2 linked regions of the Pelodiscus sinensis genome follow. The protein of the gene in region 2 interacts with the protein of the main gene of each other region in a pairwise test. Links are inferred from orthologs where the notes say so. Each region holds a gene or a part of one and is shown on either strand. Other genes may lie near its edges.

Region 1 (7,643 bases), on a different chromosome or scaffold from region 2:
AAACAGGCCCATCCTCAGTACAGACACAAGGGCAGTTGGAATGCCCTGGGAAAAAACGTTCTCCCAGTTTGTATACAAAGCCACTGTCATCCACACAGCCTTTCCCTCGATAGTCGTCAAAGATCAGATTGTCATTACTGGAGGTCTGGTCGCCTTCATCGGCAGGGTAGTCTTCATGATTGATGGCAGCTGGGGTGACCAACCCAGGTATTAGTAACAGAAGTAGGCATGCTTCTTGGATATGACAAGCCATCCCCCTCCTCAACTTCCATATACGGTCCTAATCTCAGATAGAAACAGCTGCTTCCATAGGGGTACCAGAGGAGTGGTCTGAAAACAAATAGTTAAAATAAGAATAACTTGAAATAGTCACAAAAGCAGACATAGGAAGACCACACTTTCAACCCACACCAGTGGTTTCAAAACATGCAGATGTTAAAAACTGTTTAATCTGAAAGCAGTTTTTTCTCCTCAGTTATTCCTAAGAAAAACAACACATGCTACATAGGGCCAATAAAGTGTGCATTTGTATAGATGTAGAGAGAGACAAATGTACACATACAGTTCATGCATACAAGGGCCTATAGAAAATCTCCAATCAAATGCTGGTTTATCATGATGCCTAATGTTTGCTTTTTCCTATTTGGAAAATATTGGTCATTGGAAACACAAAGAAATGAAATAATTGCCTGAAATTGAAATAGTAAGTAGGCAGTTCACTGGCACAGAACTTGGGATCAAAACAGTTCCTTTCTTTTTTGGTGTAACCACTACCTACTCTTTTCTACAATGCATGGCTCAGTTTCTTAAAATCAAGAGGATAAAAAGGCCAGAGAAGCTTTATCAGACAAAATCACAGAAGGTAAAACAAGAATTATATGGGCTTTAGTCTGATCTGAGCTTCCCATATGAAAAACAAAACAAAACAAAACCCTGTATCTTATATAGGCTTAGAGAGTTAGAATTCCTCAGTGTTTTAAATATGGTATTTTTACAGAGCAAGGTAAAGAGGCTGGGCTGGTAACATCTGTCAAGCCTGTAGGTTTCTTCTCCTTCTTCTGTAGTGTAATTGTCCTTATTTGGCATTTCTAGACACTGACATTTTTCAGGGCAGCAGTTTTCAGACTTATATTAATGTCCAGCGAGGAGTTCATAGATCAGTATTTTAAAATGTCTGGCATGTACACGGCATTACCATAATAGATTTGTCTCATTAGGTTAGTGACAGTCTCCATGCTAAAACTTAGTATGCCAGCACAGCTACATAGAACAGCCAGCGGATTTGGCAATGGAGAATAATATTTAAATGGGCAAGGTAATGATTGACAGATTGGAAAAGGAAGGAAAGCCCATCCCTATCCCAGGAAAGAGCACTCCACATATGATTTGCTGTTACTTTATTGTCTGTGTTGTGTGTCACACCACTGTCATCAAGGTGTGCATTTTCAATCCTTTTCTAAATGCCATTTGGACTTCAGTGTAATGCCAGCAGAAAAAGGGTCTCTTGCTGGTTTTCTGATAATGGGGCAAGGAACGGTCATCCTAGAGTGAAAAGTATTTGCAGGAAACTTTTTAGTAACTGGAATATTAGTTTTATGTTTATTACTAGTCAGGTATGGATTGCCTGCTAATAGCATACACAGGACTACTTGAATAAATAAAATTATGAGCATTTGAACACAGACACAACCAACCCCTCCCCCATCAATACACACATACTTATAGAGATCTGTTTCCTCTTCCTCCTCCCCAAAGAGACATTTCCTGTCGACTCAGATTATATTAAAAATCTGTCAAAAAGAATGAATCAGGAGGAAGCTATAATCTCACAAGATAAGCTAACGGATCCTGCTAAGCAAGACAGTTTTCCCAAAACTGCTACAGAGGGAGACACCGGATATTACACACGCTTTGTCAAAATCAAAAGATATCCTCTTAATTGAAGTGCTAGCTATGTTTTTATCACAAGGGTAAGGCACTGAAATACTGCCAGCCACAGCTGTTGTAGCATGCTGTGTTGTTGTTTTTTCTAAGTGGGATGCACCCAGCTACGTCTGCATTAGAGATTTGGAGAGTAAAGAGTTTTGCTCACCTACCAAGCCACAGGTAGGCATCAATTTTCTATGGTCAGGCAAGTGAAGATTTACGAAAAAAAAAAGAGCAACTGGGAAACAGATATTTGAGGTAATGTGCAATGAGCCAAGCAGCCCAATGAAGCTACCCCAAGTTTGATGGCCAGGCACTCAGTAGCAAAGCATTATAAATCAGTGCTGGTGTGGGCTAATCTTAGCTACCACACACCAATTCCAAAGACCCAGTCTAACGAATGGGAAGGAAACTGACCCGACTGCAGCTTCGTTCTCGGGAAGCGGGTCCCCAAGTAAACAAACCCGGCTCAGCTACGGATTAGTGAGCAGCTCAACTTTCCCATCCTTGCTCATGCCCAGCGATGGGTCCGACCCTGCGAGCAAGCCAGGTCTCCCCCCGAGTCATTGCTACTCACCTCGCAGGCTGGGGAAAAGCTGCCGGGGGTCACAGGCCAGCCTGGATGGAACGGCTGGGCGATCTGTTAGCACTAGCAGCACATCACTCGTCCAGCGCCGGCTCCCGGAGCATCCCTGCCCATGTCCCAGCCCGGAGCAGCCGCCGCCACCGGAGAAAGCAGCTTCGCCCAGCGTTCAGGCTTCACAGAGCCGCTCCGGAGGCGAGAGTGGCTCGCAGCCCCCTGGTCTTCAGCCGCAGCAGCAGCAGCAGCAGCGCACGCATCGCCTCCAGCTGCCTTTCCGCGGGTCTGGGCGTCTGAGAGCCTCCCCACACCCCCCGCCGCAGGAGGACGGGCTGGCTGCGCGGCAGCTACCGGCGGCTGGGAGCCAGCCCCGGATGGCATGCAGGCGGCAGCATCCCCTGGCGCCGCGTCCGCCCCCTCTCCGGGCCAAGGGAGGGGACTTGGCCGGCTCAGGCACGGGAGCAACTTGCCCAGGGCTTCAGCCCCACGGAGCGCAGCGGCTCTGCGGCGGGGCACATACTGCTAGCCCGGCTACCTTCAGTACCGCGGACAGCGCCCCTGTCCGATCCCTTCAGCACCGCAGACAGCGCTCCGCAGAGCCCAGCCCGGACTCCCTTCAGCACCGCGGACAGCGCCCCGCAGTGCCCAGCCCGGGTTCCCTTCAGCACCGCGGACAGCGCCGGGCAGATCCTAGCCCAGCTTCCTCCAGCACCGCGGACAGCCCCCCTCGCGGTCCTTCTGCACCGTGGACAGCGCCGCGCAGTGCCCAGTCGGGGATCCCTTCAGTACCGCGGACAGCGCCCCGCACGGGCTGGGCTCCCCGGCCGCTAGGAGCCCTTCCAGGGTGGGGGCATCGCCGAGCGCCAGAGCGGGCAAACCCACCCCGCCCCCGTCCCCGCCCTCCCCCAGAGCCAGACGGGCCGGCTCCGAGCCGGGGAGAGCCGCCCCGGGCAGCCCACGGCGGGGCTGAGTCCCAGGCAGCGCCGGTGCTAAGGCTGAAGCGCCCTGGCGCGCCTGCAGGAGGAGGCAGAGATCAGGCGCCTGTCGCCAGCTCTTGTGCGCTCCTGCCCAGCCAGAGACTGGGGGGAGGGGGTTGGGAATGCCCCACGTCGCTGCGTTAGTCAAACTTCAAGGCAGCTCCCAGGCGAGGCTGGGGGTGGGGAAGCCGGGAGCTGGCTGTGCCACGGAACAAACCAGGCTCTTTGCAATTCGTCTGGGCTGGCATTAGGCGTCCTTGGGAAGCTACTGCTCCCGCAGCCCCCACAGGAGGGTCCCGGGGCCCTGAAAGACACACACAGAACAACATACACAGACACGCTGGGTTTTATTGGGCCCAGCTACAAACGCGCTCCCCGCGCACGCAGCAGTGAAGGCGCTGAGCCAGCTGATTGCTGCTGGTTCCCTGCAGCCTGGCTCCTCCTCTTCCATCCAGCCACCTCCAGGGGCTCAGCACCACAGCCGGACGGTCCCATCCGAGCCCCCCGACAGCAAGTGCTCTGCCCTGTGATCAAAGACCACGCTCTGCACCTCGCCCTCATGGCCTGCCAGGCTGGAAAGCTGCCCCGAGCTGACGTTCAAGGTCTTCACCGTGCCATCGTTACTCGCAAGGGCTACAAGGTGACCTGCAATTCAGAGCAAAGGAATCAAAGCTCCAGAGGGCCAGGTCTGCAGGAGCCAGTCCTATGCCATGGACTCTTTCATACAATGCACCAAAGGTAGCATACCCTATGCTAGATCTCAGATCCTCGAACTCCATTATCGGAAAGTAGCACCAGTCAATAACAACAGACTCCATTTTAGAGTGATAAAGTGAAGCTAAGGATTTGGCCTGGCTGGTCATTGGAAAGTCAGGTACTTTGTTTTTAGTTTAAGAACAGGAAAACAACCATATTGGGTCAAACAAAAGGCCCATCTAGCCCAGTATCCTGGCCAACACTAGGTGCCCCAAAAGAAATGAACTGAACCAAGGAATCATCAAGTGATCCATCCCTGTCACCCATTCTCAGCTCTGACAAGAGGCTAGGGACACCATCCCTACCCATCCTGGCTAGTAGCCATGGATGGACCTAACGTCCATGAATTTATCTAGCTCTTTTTTGAACCCTGTTACAGTCTTGGACTTCACAACATCCTCTGGTAAGGAGTTCCACAGGTTGTGAGTTGCATGAAGGAGTACTTCCTTTTGTTGGTTTTAAACCTATTAATATCACTTGGTGATCCCTGGTTCTTCTGTTATGGAAAGGAGTGACTAACTCTTCCTTATTCGCTTTTTTTCTACACCAGTCATGATTTTATAGACCTCTATCATATACCCCCTTGGTTGTCTCTTTTCCAAGCTGAAAAGCCCCAGTCTTGTTAACCTCTCTCCGTATGGTAGCTGCTCCATACCACTAATCATTTTTGCCCTTTTCTGAACTTTTTCCAATGCCAATATCTCTTTTTTTAGATGAAGCAACCACATCTGTATGCACTGTTCAAGATGTGGGAGCACCATGGATTTATACAGAGGAATAAGATATTCTTGGTCTTATTCTCTATCCCTTTCTTAATGATCCCTAACATTCTCTTTACTATTTCTACTGCCACTGCACACTGGGTGGATGTTTTCAGAGAACTATCCACAATGACTGGCAACTCTTTTGCTTGAGTGGCCTTCATCATTTTATACATGCAGTTGGGATTTTGACATAATATAGGGCCCAATTCTGATTCACATAGAAGCACCTTCATTGAAGGTACCTTTGCTGAAATCAGTCAGCACATCTGGATTAAGATGCCTTTGGTCTAAATGAACCTGAACCAGAACCAGGCCCACCAACATTTAATATTGATATTCTCAACATAATATATGAAGGTGCCTAGATGAGTTTAGACACCTCACATCCACTGAACATTAACAGGAGTTGGGCACATAACACCGATAGGTTCCAGTGAAAACTCCCAGCCTAATTAAACAGTTAATACAGATGTGGATACAGCAGTTAAAAGGGGGAGAAAAGATTTTAAAGAGTCCAAAGTTTCCTTATGTTTCTTTACAAATCAGGCTACCTCTATATTTTATCAGTTGGGACAAGTCCAGGATGTATTTATAAATTTCTTATTTTGCAGTTTAAACAAAAAGCATCAGTAAAACCTAGCAATGCAGGCTGAACCTCCCTAATCCAGCACTCTCTGGTCTGCTAATATCTGTGGTCCAGCATGATTTTAATTAGCCAGATGTTCACTTATTATGGGTGTGGCCTAGATGTTCACTTATCATGGGTGTGGCCTAGTTTCCCACGGTCCCATAAAGTTTCTTTGCAGCTACCAGTCCTGGGTCTCAGTGTTCTGTGCTGTTCTTTAGTTTTAATATACCTCTAAATGTCTTCTAGGAGTCCACTGAGCAGTGGAAGAATTGGTAATGATTCTGGACAATATTGACCTCCTATGGCTCAGCAAATTCTCTGGTTCAGCAGCAGTCAGGTCCCAAGGGTGCTGGATTAGAGAGGTTCAACCTGTACATTTGACTCCCCCTTCATTTTCTCAGATGAGGGAATCTCTCTGCTTCAAAATTATAATCAGGATCTTGACATATGTGCATAGACACACAGCAATAACTATATCCAACAAGAGATCAATACATTCTTTCCAAGGCACAGATGGGCTGCTCAACAAAGCCATCATTGTATTTCAAGTCATGATTCTGGTCAAACACTGTTAGCTATTAGACACAGGTTCAATATTCCCTCAATGATTAAAGCCCTTTTTATGTATCAAACAGTACTTTTTCCCCCCTCTCAAAGCAAAGACAAATCACCCACAGAAGTTGAATTAGTGCTGACAAAGTCAATGTGGTATTGAAGCAATCGTTGGGTGAGCAAGAGTAGTTTAAACAGGGCCACATGTTGGCAACCTTACTCTATGAATAGCTTGATCAGGACTTATGACCACATGCAAGTGTGTGGGGAAGAATCTGGCCCCCCAAAATGTGATTTTAAGGACACTGAAGCTACAAGGCAGAATCTGATGTAACTTTTATCCTGGAAATAGATTATCTGCCCCTTCAGACAATAATGTCTCCTGTTCGCAAAATTGTTTTGGCAATATCATCTTAAAAATGCATGGAGACCATCTCATTACTGGTTATGCCGGGAGTGGTCATGGCTATTTGTACAGTAGGTGGAAGTATGAAAGTAGAGCTAACCATGATAAATATGCCCCATTTGCAAACCTTTATAACTACTGGGCTTCTTCACCTAAAACAAAGCCTGACACAGCAAAGATCAGTAGGATAGATTAGAGTGTCCAAAGCACCAGATGCAAATATTTATTATAAACTCTCTCTTAGCAAGTCTTTGCTGACAGAAGCACTACATATGGATTTTACTTGCAACCAGACTCTATAGGCAGTTGCTGGGAGGTTTCCCCTAAAAGGCAAACAAATGACTTTTAGCTCAGAGTCTGAATCCTGAAATAGCTGGGTAGGGGGTTACCATCACATTTCAGCTTTTAAAATGGGAACAAAGGCTTAGATTCAAAAGAGATGATTTGGACAGTCCTACTTTACTTTAAGAAAACTAAATCAATTCAAATACATATTTGAAACAATACATTTAAGTGTTTAGTTAACATTTTTGCTGACCACGAGGGGAGTAGAACAGGCCTTAATGAAATGGTGCATCTTTATTGCCTTTGCCTGTTAAATCACGTCTGAAAGACACAGGTACAGACTGAATCTTTCTAGTCCTGTACCCTCGGAACCTGACTAGATCTGAACAAAAGAATTTTCTGGACCATGGGAGGTCTAGCAGCATTACCAGCACTTCTACTGCTTATGGGGCTGTTAGAGGACATTTAGGAGTAAATTAGAGCTAAATAACAGCACAGAACAGAGAGTTGGATTGGTGGCTGTAAACAAACTTTATGGGACCGCGGGAAACTTGGCCATACTCATGAAAAGTGGACATTCGGCTAACTCAAATCATGCCAGACCAGAGATGTTTCCAGACCAGGGAGTTCTGAACTAGAGAGGTTCAAACTATTTACACTATTTGGTTGGTTCACATGAATATCTGAAAATGGTAGTAAAATTAAGTGACAACTAGCTAGATGATGCAGTAGTGATCATAGAAGACATCTGAATGTATCCATGCCATCT
Region 2 (8,058 bases):
TTTTTTTAAATACTCGGGTACATTTTGAAAGTACAGAGGAGTGCCAGAAATATCCCATCTCTCTTCGTTGCAAGAAGAGAAGGAGAAAAACGACTTGATCTGTACGAGGCCTAGCTAAGCCGTGTAAAGTGACTAGTAGAGGGGCAAAGCGGGTAGAAATTAAAGAGGTTTGATGCTCACCCGGGTAACCCACGGAGGGGTGCAGTAAGTCCATGGCAGGTCCGGTCAGCCCCAGCCCATTCATGCCATAGGGGGGCTGTTTGAGGTAAGACATCATGCTAAAAGCTGGAAAGATTTTCCCCGATTGATCACAAAAACAAAACAAAAAGTCTTAAAACGTCTTGAAGTCACAAAACGGGTTCTTCCAGGCGAGGGCAGAAAATCCGGGTGCAGAACAGTCTCCTCGCTCCCTAAAAGAAAAACAAAATACACACGGAACAAAAGACAAACATCAGAAGCTCTTCGGAGCGGAATCGACAAAACCCGGTGACTTCGCAGGGCGCGCTACACACCGCTGGGATTCGGAGTTTGAATTCGCGAGAGAAGAGCGGCGCCGATCACATTAAAATGAATCGAAAGCGCAGGGAAGTTTTACCTATTTGTGCGTCTATTAAATTAAATCGGTTTTTTTGCGGGGGGGGGGGGAGGTGGATTGCAAAAAGACACAAGAGCACAGACTCCTGTTCGTTGCAAAGGGAGTTGTATTTCTCTCTTCGCCAAAAAACAACCAACCAACCCACCCAACAAAACAACCAAAACAAAACCCCACGCAGTACAAATAAAATCGAAAGTTTCGCTCCTTTTCGTGGTCAGTATTATTGTTCGAAAGTTGTTGCGCGTCTAGAGAAGGGTGTGCGGGGGGAACAGTCAATATGGCCGACACCCCCCCAAACATAGTGAAATAAAAAAAGTACGAGAAGTGAGTTTTTTTTTTAAAGAGCAGAGCCATATTAGCATACAATCGCCGTGGGGGCTTGGAGGAGGGCACAGTACAAGTGATGGGGGGAGATAAAGCAATTATTTAAAAAGATAATTGGATTAGAAATCAAAACGAGCTATCAAAAGAGGGACGTATAATTAATTTAAGAGAGAGCAGAAGGGGACATTTTAATTAGAAATGGGTAGCAGTTAAAAAAACCCAAACAGATTTAGAAGCACTTTGAAATTCATATTCCAGGGGTTTCCTCCCGTAGGGGTGATAAACAAATTTGCACAAGGGGTGCGTGTGGGTGACGGAGGAAGTTTTCACGTCCTCTCACTAGGGATAAATAAAAGGGGGAATTGCTCTGCCTAGCTGGGTGACCTTACCCGGCTTTGAGAAGTGCCAACTCAAACCCGTCGCCTCACGGTTTCCTGCCAATTCAGTTTGTCTTGCTGTTCTCCAACAGCAAAGAATTTACAAGCGGGACCGCGGAACTGGAATGTATCTATTTCCCCCCCTCAGAGCCAAGTAAAAATTTCCAGGTAAAAATCCACAACCTTGATCCCAGCTCCTGAAATCTCTCTCCGCAGGCCACAGACACCTAAGCACCCTCAGTGTCCGCCACGAGAAAAACTAGAAGAGACCAACCAAATAAAATAAAATCTGAATTCCTGCAACAGATGGTGGCGGCTCTAATCACAAGTAATCACTTGCTACAAACTTTAATTGGGTGCAGGGCCATGTTGTCTCCAGCTGAGTTTCCTGTATTTGCACCAGAAAGATTTAAAAAAGGGGGGAGGAGGGGTTTGTTTGTTTGTTTTCGCCGTTAAGGCCATTTCCAAATTAATTTACATCCTCCAGGGGTGCTGGAGCAATGTGTATAGTGTGTGTGTGTGTGTGTGTGTGGGGGGGGGTAATATGCTGAGCGCCAATGCACCCAACTGTAAACTCTGCATGAGATGGAAAACACGGCACCCCCCGCACCCGTAGTTCCAGCTCCCAGGATCACCTGTTGCACTGGACAGCTGGGATCCCCTCTAGTGTAAATGGGTTTCGGTTTTAGGGTCTGGGTGGAAATTAAGCGCGTCCGGTTTAGCTCGCAGTTTGGAGTGAGCGGACACGCACGCAGGAGGTTTCCACAGGCCTGTGTGCACTTTCCTGCGGATTTCCCGAAAGTACCGAGTCCATTGCAAAGCGTCCTAACCTCCCAGGCCAAGGGGTGCTGTGGAGGCCGATTTATCCTCCCAGAGACTCCCGACCAGCATCGGCGCCCGCGCCTCTAGTCCCAGAGAGCGCCATGGACACAGAAGCGCCCCAGGCCGGGAGAGAGGGCTCCAAAGAGGATCCGTGGCTTGGCGGTGGCGCATCGAAGGCAGCAGGTTCCCCCAGGCCAGGCCAAGCCCTGCTTCCCTCTGAGCGGCTCCTGGAGAGGAGCCTGGCCGGGCCTGGAGTGATTTGGCCCCATTATGTAAGTTTCTTTGCCAGCCCCACAGCGGCACCCTCCCAGGCAGGGGGAGGAGGCGGGGAGAGAACGGCGCCGCACATTCGGCTAAGACACAATCCAGGAGTCCCACACCCACCAGCACCCCCGGGCAGGGCTTCGCCAACCCCCGCGCGGGACCCGCCAGCTGCGCTACCAGGGAGCGGAACTTGGCCGGGGAGTTGCAAAGTCTGGCGGGGACACGCGGGCAGCCCGGAGCGCCTCGCCCGGCTCCACCAGGGGCCAAGGTGCCGAGCCGGGCTCAGCCGCACAAGGGGCCAGGCAGAGCAGACGGGCCGGGGCGCCCCTGCTGCTCCCGGAAAGTCCGGGCTGGGGGGGGGGGGGAAGCTCCTGCAGCCCATAGCGCCGGGACAGATTGCGCAGGAACCAGGAGCCTCACCTGCCCGTACCCCTGGGGCGCTGCCGCTAAGGCCCCGGCCAGGAGCGGACGGGCCAGATTCCGGGCGCTTGCAACGGGCTCCCTACTGTCCCCCTGCCCCGCGCTGCCACCCGGGGGGGGGGGTGAGTGGGGGCGGCTCCTTGCACTTTCTTTGCGGGCAGCGCTAAGTTCTGCGGGGCGCCGGGGCCGCGCGTGGGGCAGGGCAGGGGGGAGCCGGCCCCGCAGCGCATCCAGCGCGTTACCTTGTGGCAGGAGCGGTCTGGCCCGGGCGCTTAGGTGATTGGAAATGTAGCCTGATGAAGATTGATCACCTTTCCACCGCCCTACCCTTGTATGTGAGCGCGAGGCAAGTGCGTAACCGGCCCGGCGCCAATCCCCGGCCTCCCCCAGCCTGACTGACAGCCGCCTTGGCCAATGGCAGCTCAGGATGCGGGTTACCTCTGCACGCCCCCTCCCTCCTCTCCGGCTCCCCACTCCACCCCAGCCCTGCCGCGCGCGCCGGCTCCCCCGGGGCAGGCGGCGGCGCAGCCCCTGGTGCTGTCCTGCCCGGACAAAGCCCGTCCCGGGTGCAAGTGACTCGGGACTAGCTCGGGGGAGGGGCTCCCGGAGTGCCCCGGCTGGACTAGCGTACGCTCCGCCTAGCCCGGCGCCCACAGGGAACTTTCTGCGCGTTTAATTGCTGCCCGTGCGCGTCTGTGTGAAGCTGAGTTGTATTTGCGCGCGCACTGAGCAGCGCTTCTCCCTAGGCGCGCAGCGAGCAAACCTGAACTCCAAGGGGCGACAGCGCCTAGCCGGGCCGCCCGGAATGTGGAGCAAGTTCCTTCTAGTGGGTTTCCCAGTCCTGCCCCAGCCTGACTTTTTCTTCTACGACTCCACTCGCTCTCCCAAAGTTTGCAACCCCCGTTTTTTCGTACGCTCCGGTACGAACCAGGGCTCCTAAGTGCGCAGAAATGTATGTCACGAAGGAAGGCTGGGATGGCTGGTCTGCCACCGGCAACGCCCTGCAAATCACCCCTTTCGTTCCCGTTTGTGTTTGGGCAGGACCTAGGCTGGGAGAGAAGGATTGTGCTGGCCTGGGATGGGTTTCGTTTCACGGGTTTCCCCCTTTCCGAAACATCCCAAGTGCCCGTTCTGAAAATCGGTCCCAACCTTTATTTGAAGCGCGCCGCTCGTGAAACCTACACAACGAAGGAAGCGAAGGGAATGGCGATGGGTGACCATAAACTTGGGCTTTCCCTCTCCAAGCTCTCAGGCCCCACAATGATCTCGACATATATATGTTTAAGTTGCGCCGTCTCATAAATATTAACGAAGGGCCCTAATCTCTTCCTAAGAATCACTCCTTTTTTTTGTAGTTTAATAGGAGAATGTCCAATAACACAAAGGGAAATCTGAAAAGGGGGTAATAATAATAACATGCAAAAAAAAAAATCAACTCGTTGCCAGCAAAATAAATTAAACGCGGCCGGGCATCAAAGTAAGTGTTTTTCACGAGACACTTTCCTTTGGCGTCCCAATAAAACACGGTAACAGAATATCATGGATGCACACTGTTTCCCTAACTGCTTCTCAAAGGGTCCAGGCGATCTTCTTAGGACCTTTAATAAGGCTTTGGTGCGGGTCTTTTGTTGATCTCTCAAAATCAACTCCTTCTCATTGAAGCTGGAGCTGAAAGCGAGCTAATGTTCAAAGGAAGTGACCGCCGGCCCAAACGAAATTACATTTTTTTTCGGGCGATGAGGGGACATCTAATCAAAGCGGGGGGGGGGGCGAGGTAGAAGGAGGAGAAGGGACGAAAGAAAAGGAGGGTTTACAAGATCTTTCTATAGTCCACAAAAGTCAGCGACACGGGCACTTCTCCGGGGAACAAAGGCGCCGCAGCCCATTCACAAAAAGTAAAGGGCTGTCAGGGGACACCAGTCCCGGGGTCCCTACCTTTGCCTTTGTAGGCACAGGGAGCAAGCCCCGCTGAGGCACCTGAACCTTTGTCCCAGGGTGGTAGGCCAGGAGTTGGGGGCCGATTTTTAAGCAGGAAGGGCTGTTCTCCAACGCGCGCCCGGGCAAAGGGAGCCCGGCCAGGCTCGCCAAAAAGCCCATATTCTCGGCTGCGCCCAACTCCCCAGCAATCGGCTCCCGGTTATTCGTGCAGGAGAGGGGGTTGCTTGGCCAGCCGGGGCTCGGCTGCCCGGCCCGCTCCCGCTTGGAGCTTGGCTCTGGCGCTGGGGCTCAGCCCCACAGGCTGGGGCTGGGAGCGGGGAGGTATCAGGTAGCACTGGCCCCTGCCCGTGCAATCAGAGCACTTGTCTAATCCCAAATTGCAGGCGAATTTTCTTAATGCGCAGCCCATAAAAGCCCGGGATTAGGGGGAGGCAGGGGGCACACGGCGCAGAGCGAGCGCGCGAGAGAAAAGTTTGGCGCCGCGCTGGGGGCTGCACGCAGAGGCGGCGGCGCAGCAGCCGCGGCGGAGGCGCAGGGGGGGCGGTCAGGGTACCCCGTCCTGCCCCCACCCATCTCCAGGGACCGCGCTGCAAGGGGGAGCGCTGGGTGCGCACAGGTAAGCGCCTGCGGGGCCCGGCCTTCCCGTAGCCCCTCTCGGCCCCCGGGAGGGGGGTAGGGTCCCAGGGCTGCAGCCGGGCACCGGAGGCGTGTGCGCGGGATCCCGCAGCACCTGCTGCGCCTGGGCAGGACCCCGAGGCACGTGGGAAGCTACAGGGGTTGGGGCGCTCGGGGGGAGGGGGCGTTTGACTGTCTCGCCCCCATTGACCCAGGAGCCCCTGGGCTGGCTGGGACGGGGGGGGGAGGGGCGGGAGTTCAGCTGGCTGCAGCGAGTTTGCCAAACAACCGGGCAATGCCGCGGGGAGAAGCCCCCCAAGTTCCCTGCTCCCTGCAGCGGCCCCGGAGCCTGGGGCTGGACCCTGCTGGCGGAGAACAGCCCGGTGGACGCTGCTTCTGACCCCTCCCCCCGGAGCATTTCAGCCCCTTGGCTTAGTGGCCAGCGCTGCCCTGGAGCGCCCGCGTCTCGCTCTGTGCTCCGTGCCCCAGCATGTCTCCCCCTCCCGGTTCCATGCACCCTCTTCTTCCGCGCCCCCGCTAGCCCACAGCCCCAGCCCGAGGGCTGAGCCACCCCCTGGAGCCCGGGCCAGAGAAACCTGCGCCCGGGAAGGCAAAGCGAGCCGGGCCCAGCCCCTGAACGGGCCAGTTGGAAAAGGCCAGAGGACGCCAGCTGTCAAAACTTATTCCCCCTTCATCAGAGCGGAGGCAGCAGCGAGGACTCCGCCGTGGCCGGTGTCATTGGCACAGGCTCCTGCTCCGCAGCCCAGGGCCCTGCGAGGGCGAACAGCTGTTCGCTGCGAATTAACCAATTCTCCTCTGACTCTTAGGCGCCGAGAAAGCGCGTTAACCTACATTAACCACCCCAAAGTGCGCACTTGTCTCGGGCCAAATCAAGAGCGGCTGGTCCAGCAGGCCGGCAAGAGAGAACACAGCCCAGAAACGGAGGTGATGGGCGGGGGTGATAGAGTCAAAGGGCGAGGGGGAGAAGGAGGCAGATCCGGGCCCGATTCGCATCCCCCAGTGAAAGGAGATAAGAGGTTTAATTCATTTAGCATATGAACCACCTCGGCAAGGGATTCCCATGATGGGCAGATCCGAAGGCACATGCCCAGAGCCCCGGTATTTACACTGGCACTTTATCATTTTAACCGGATTATTCACGAGGTGGATTTGGTAACATCTCGTGTGTTCTCTCCGCACGGGTCAGAAAACCGCGTCTCTCTTCCAAGCCGCGGCGGCAGGCGCAGGAGCAGCTGCTGAGATGGGACTCTCCCCTAGCCCCACTTGGCTGGATTTTGCAGCGATTGGATGAGGGGATTTGATTTTCACCGGGGCTCCATGGCGCAGGAAGGTGGCGGGGCCAGCTCCCCCAAAGTGCCCGCGGAGCCACTGGGTCCCGTCCCAGAAACTTCGCACGAACTTTTCCCCCGGCCTGGGAGGCGCAGATTTGAGCGGCAGCATTCCTGTATGCGCCGGCTGGGCTGTCCTTTCCTAACTGAGGCATGATTTATAGTCTCTTGTAAAACTTCGCTGGCACTCTGAAGCCTAAACCTGCCGCATTATTATTTTCAGGTCTTCCCAATTTGTCGAACAGACTTCCTTTTGTTAGGGAGAGGGCTGGTTTGCTACTGGAATGAGTTGAGCAGGCGGATACAGGCATACGGCTGCGCCATGTCAAAAGTTGAACTTTTTGTCTGGCTTGGTGGTTCTATCACTAAATACAATTTTTTAAAAAATTGCAGTTCGCTGAGAGTTGACAAAGAGCTTTGATCTGGCCCGCTGAGCTATAAAAAGGCAAGCCACTGCAAAGGAAGGTGAAGAAAACGATGCACTGTGGCCAGTTCTGAAAATCTTGGACAAAGTAGCAGTGACCAGAGGTCTGATTTGCAAAATCTTAATGTAAACCGGAACAGGTTCCAAAAAAAGAGAAATTGGAACCTTCTTGGACAAACAAGACTTGTATCTGGAAAAGTTTTACAAATAAAACCAAGGCCATGGCTTTTTAATCCTCACCCCCAAAAGAAAATTCTATTTTTGTATCTGAAGGTGTATCTTTTGCCTCTAGACTGGTGCCAGGTAGGAAGCTGTTGCATTTGCAAATCATTTTTTACAAATTCATTTTAAAAATTAAATAAACCTTTCCCCATCTCCCCTCCCCCCAAACAATCAGAAGTAAACTTTTCACACTGGGAAGAGAAGACAGCAACAGTTAACGGTAAGAAAGATTCAGCTTTTATTGAAAATTTATATATGACTCAGTATTGTAATAAATAACAGTTTTCACAAAAATGAGCGAGCAATGGAAGCAAAAGGAACTCTAACTGAGAGGGGGTTTGCACACAATGGCAGAACAGACTTTAATAGCTACTGAATAAATATGAACAGCATTCTGGAGCCAACAAAATGGAGAAGGGAACAAAACTAGATGTAATAAATAATTATAAAAAAATGGCGTAGCCTTTAATGACAAAATGTTTCTGTAAACTGATGCACTTCAATTAGCCCCATCTCACACCACATCTTCAGATCACAAGGCTCTTTTCAAATCACATGGTAAAGAACTGGTCTCGGAGCGAATCAGACAGTCTTAATTTATATTATACATACAATAAAATGTAAAACGTTTCTGAAATAAACACTGGTAAATATAGCACATTTTAATAACTGGATTGAATCTGAACTATAAAATTTAGATAGCTTATT

Evidence for each region.
Region 1: the proteins of OTX1 (region 2) and VWC2L interact in binary tests that used the Homo sapiens proteins (3 or more experiments, as listed by UniProt). The two-hybrid records come from large-scale screens. The link is inferred for Pelodiscus sinensis from reciprocal best matches to the Homo sapiens genes OTX1 and VWC2L.

The regions. Positions count from the first base shown.
Region 1 is NC_134717.1:60,601,744-60,609,386, reverse strand, and holds the start of VWC2L (von Willebrand factor C domain-containing protein 2-like), read right to left. Parts: upstream 3,036-7,643; 5' UTR 2,504-3,035; intron 331-2,503; 5' UTR 254-330; coding exon 1-253. Other genes in the region: SPAG16 (sperm-associated antigen 16 protein), read right to left, coding at 3,953-4,128.
Region 2 is NC_134713.1:185,274,582-185,282,639, forward strand, and holds the start of OTX1 (homeobox protein OTX1), read right to left. Parts: upstream 3,182-8,058; 5' UTR 3,045-3,181; intron 1,556-3,044; exon of another isoform or gene 1,480-1,555; intron 411-1,479; 5' UTR 278-410; coding exon 181-277; intron 1-180. UniProt on the Homo sapiens protein: Probably plays a role in the development of the brain and the sense organs. Can bind to the BCD target sequence (BTS): 5'-TCTAATCCC-3'.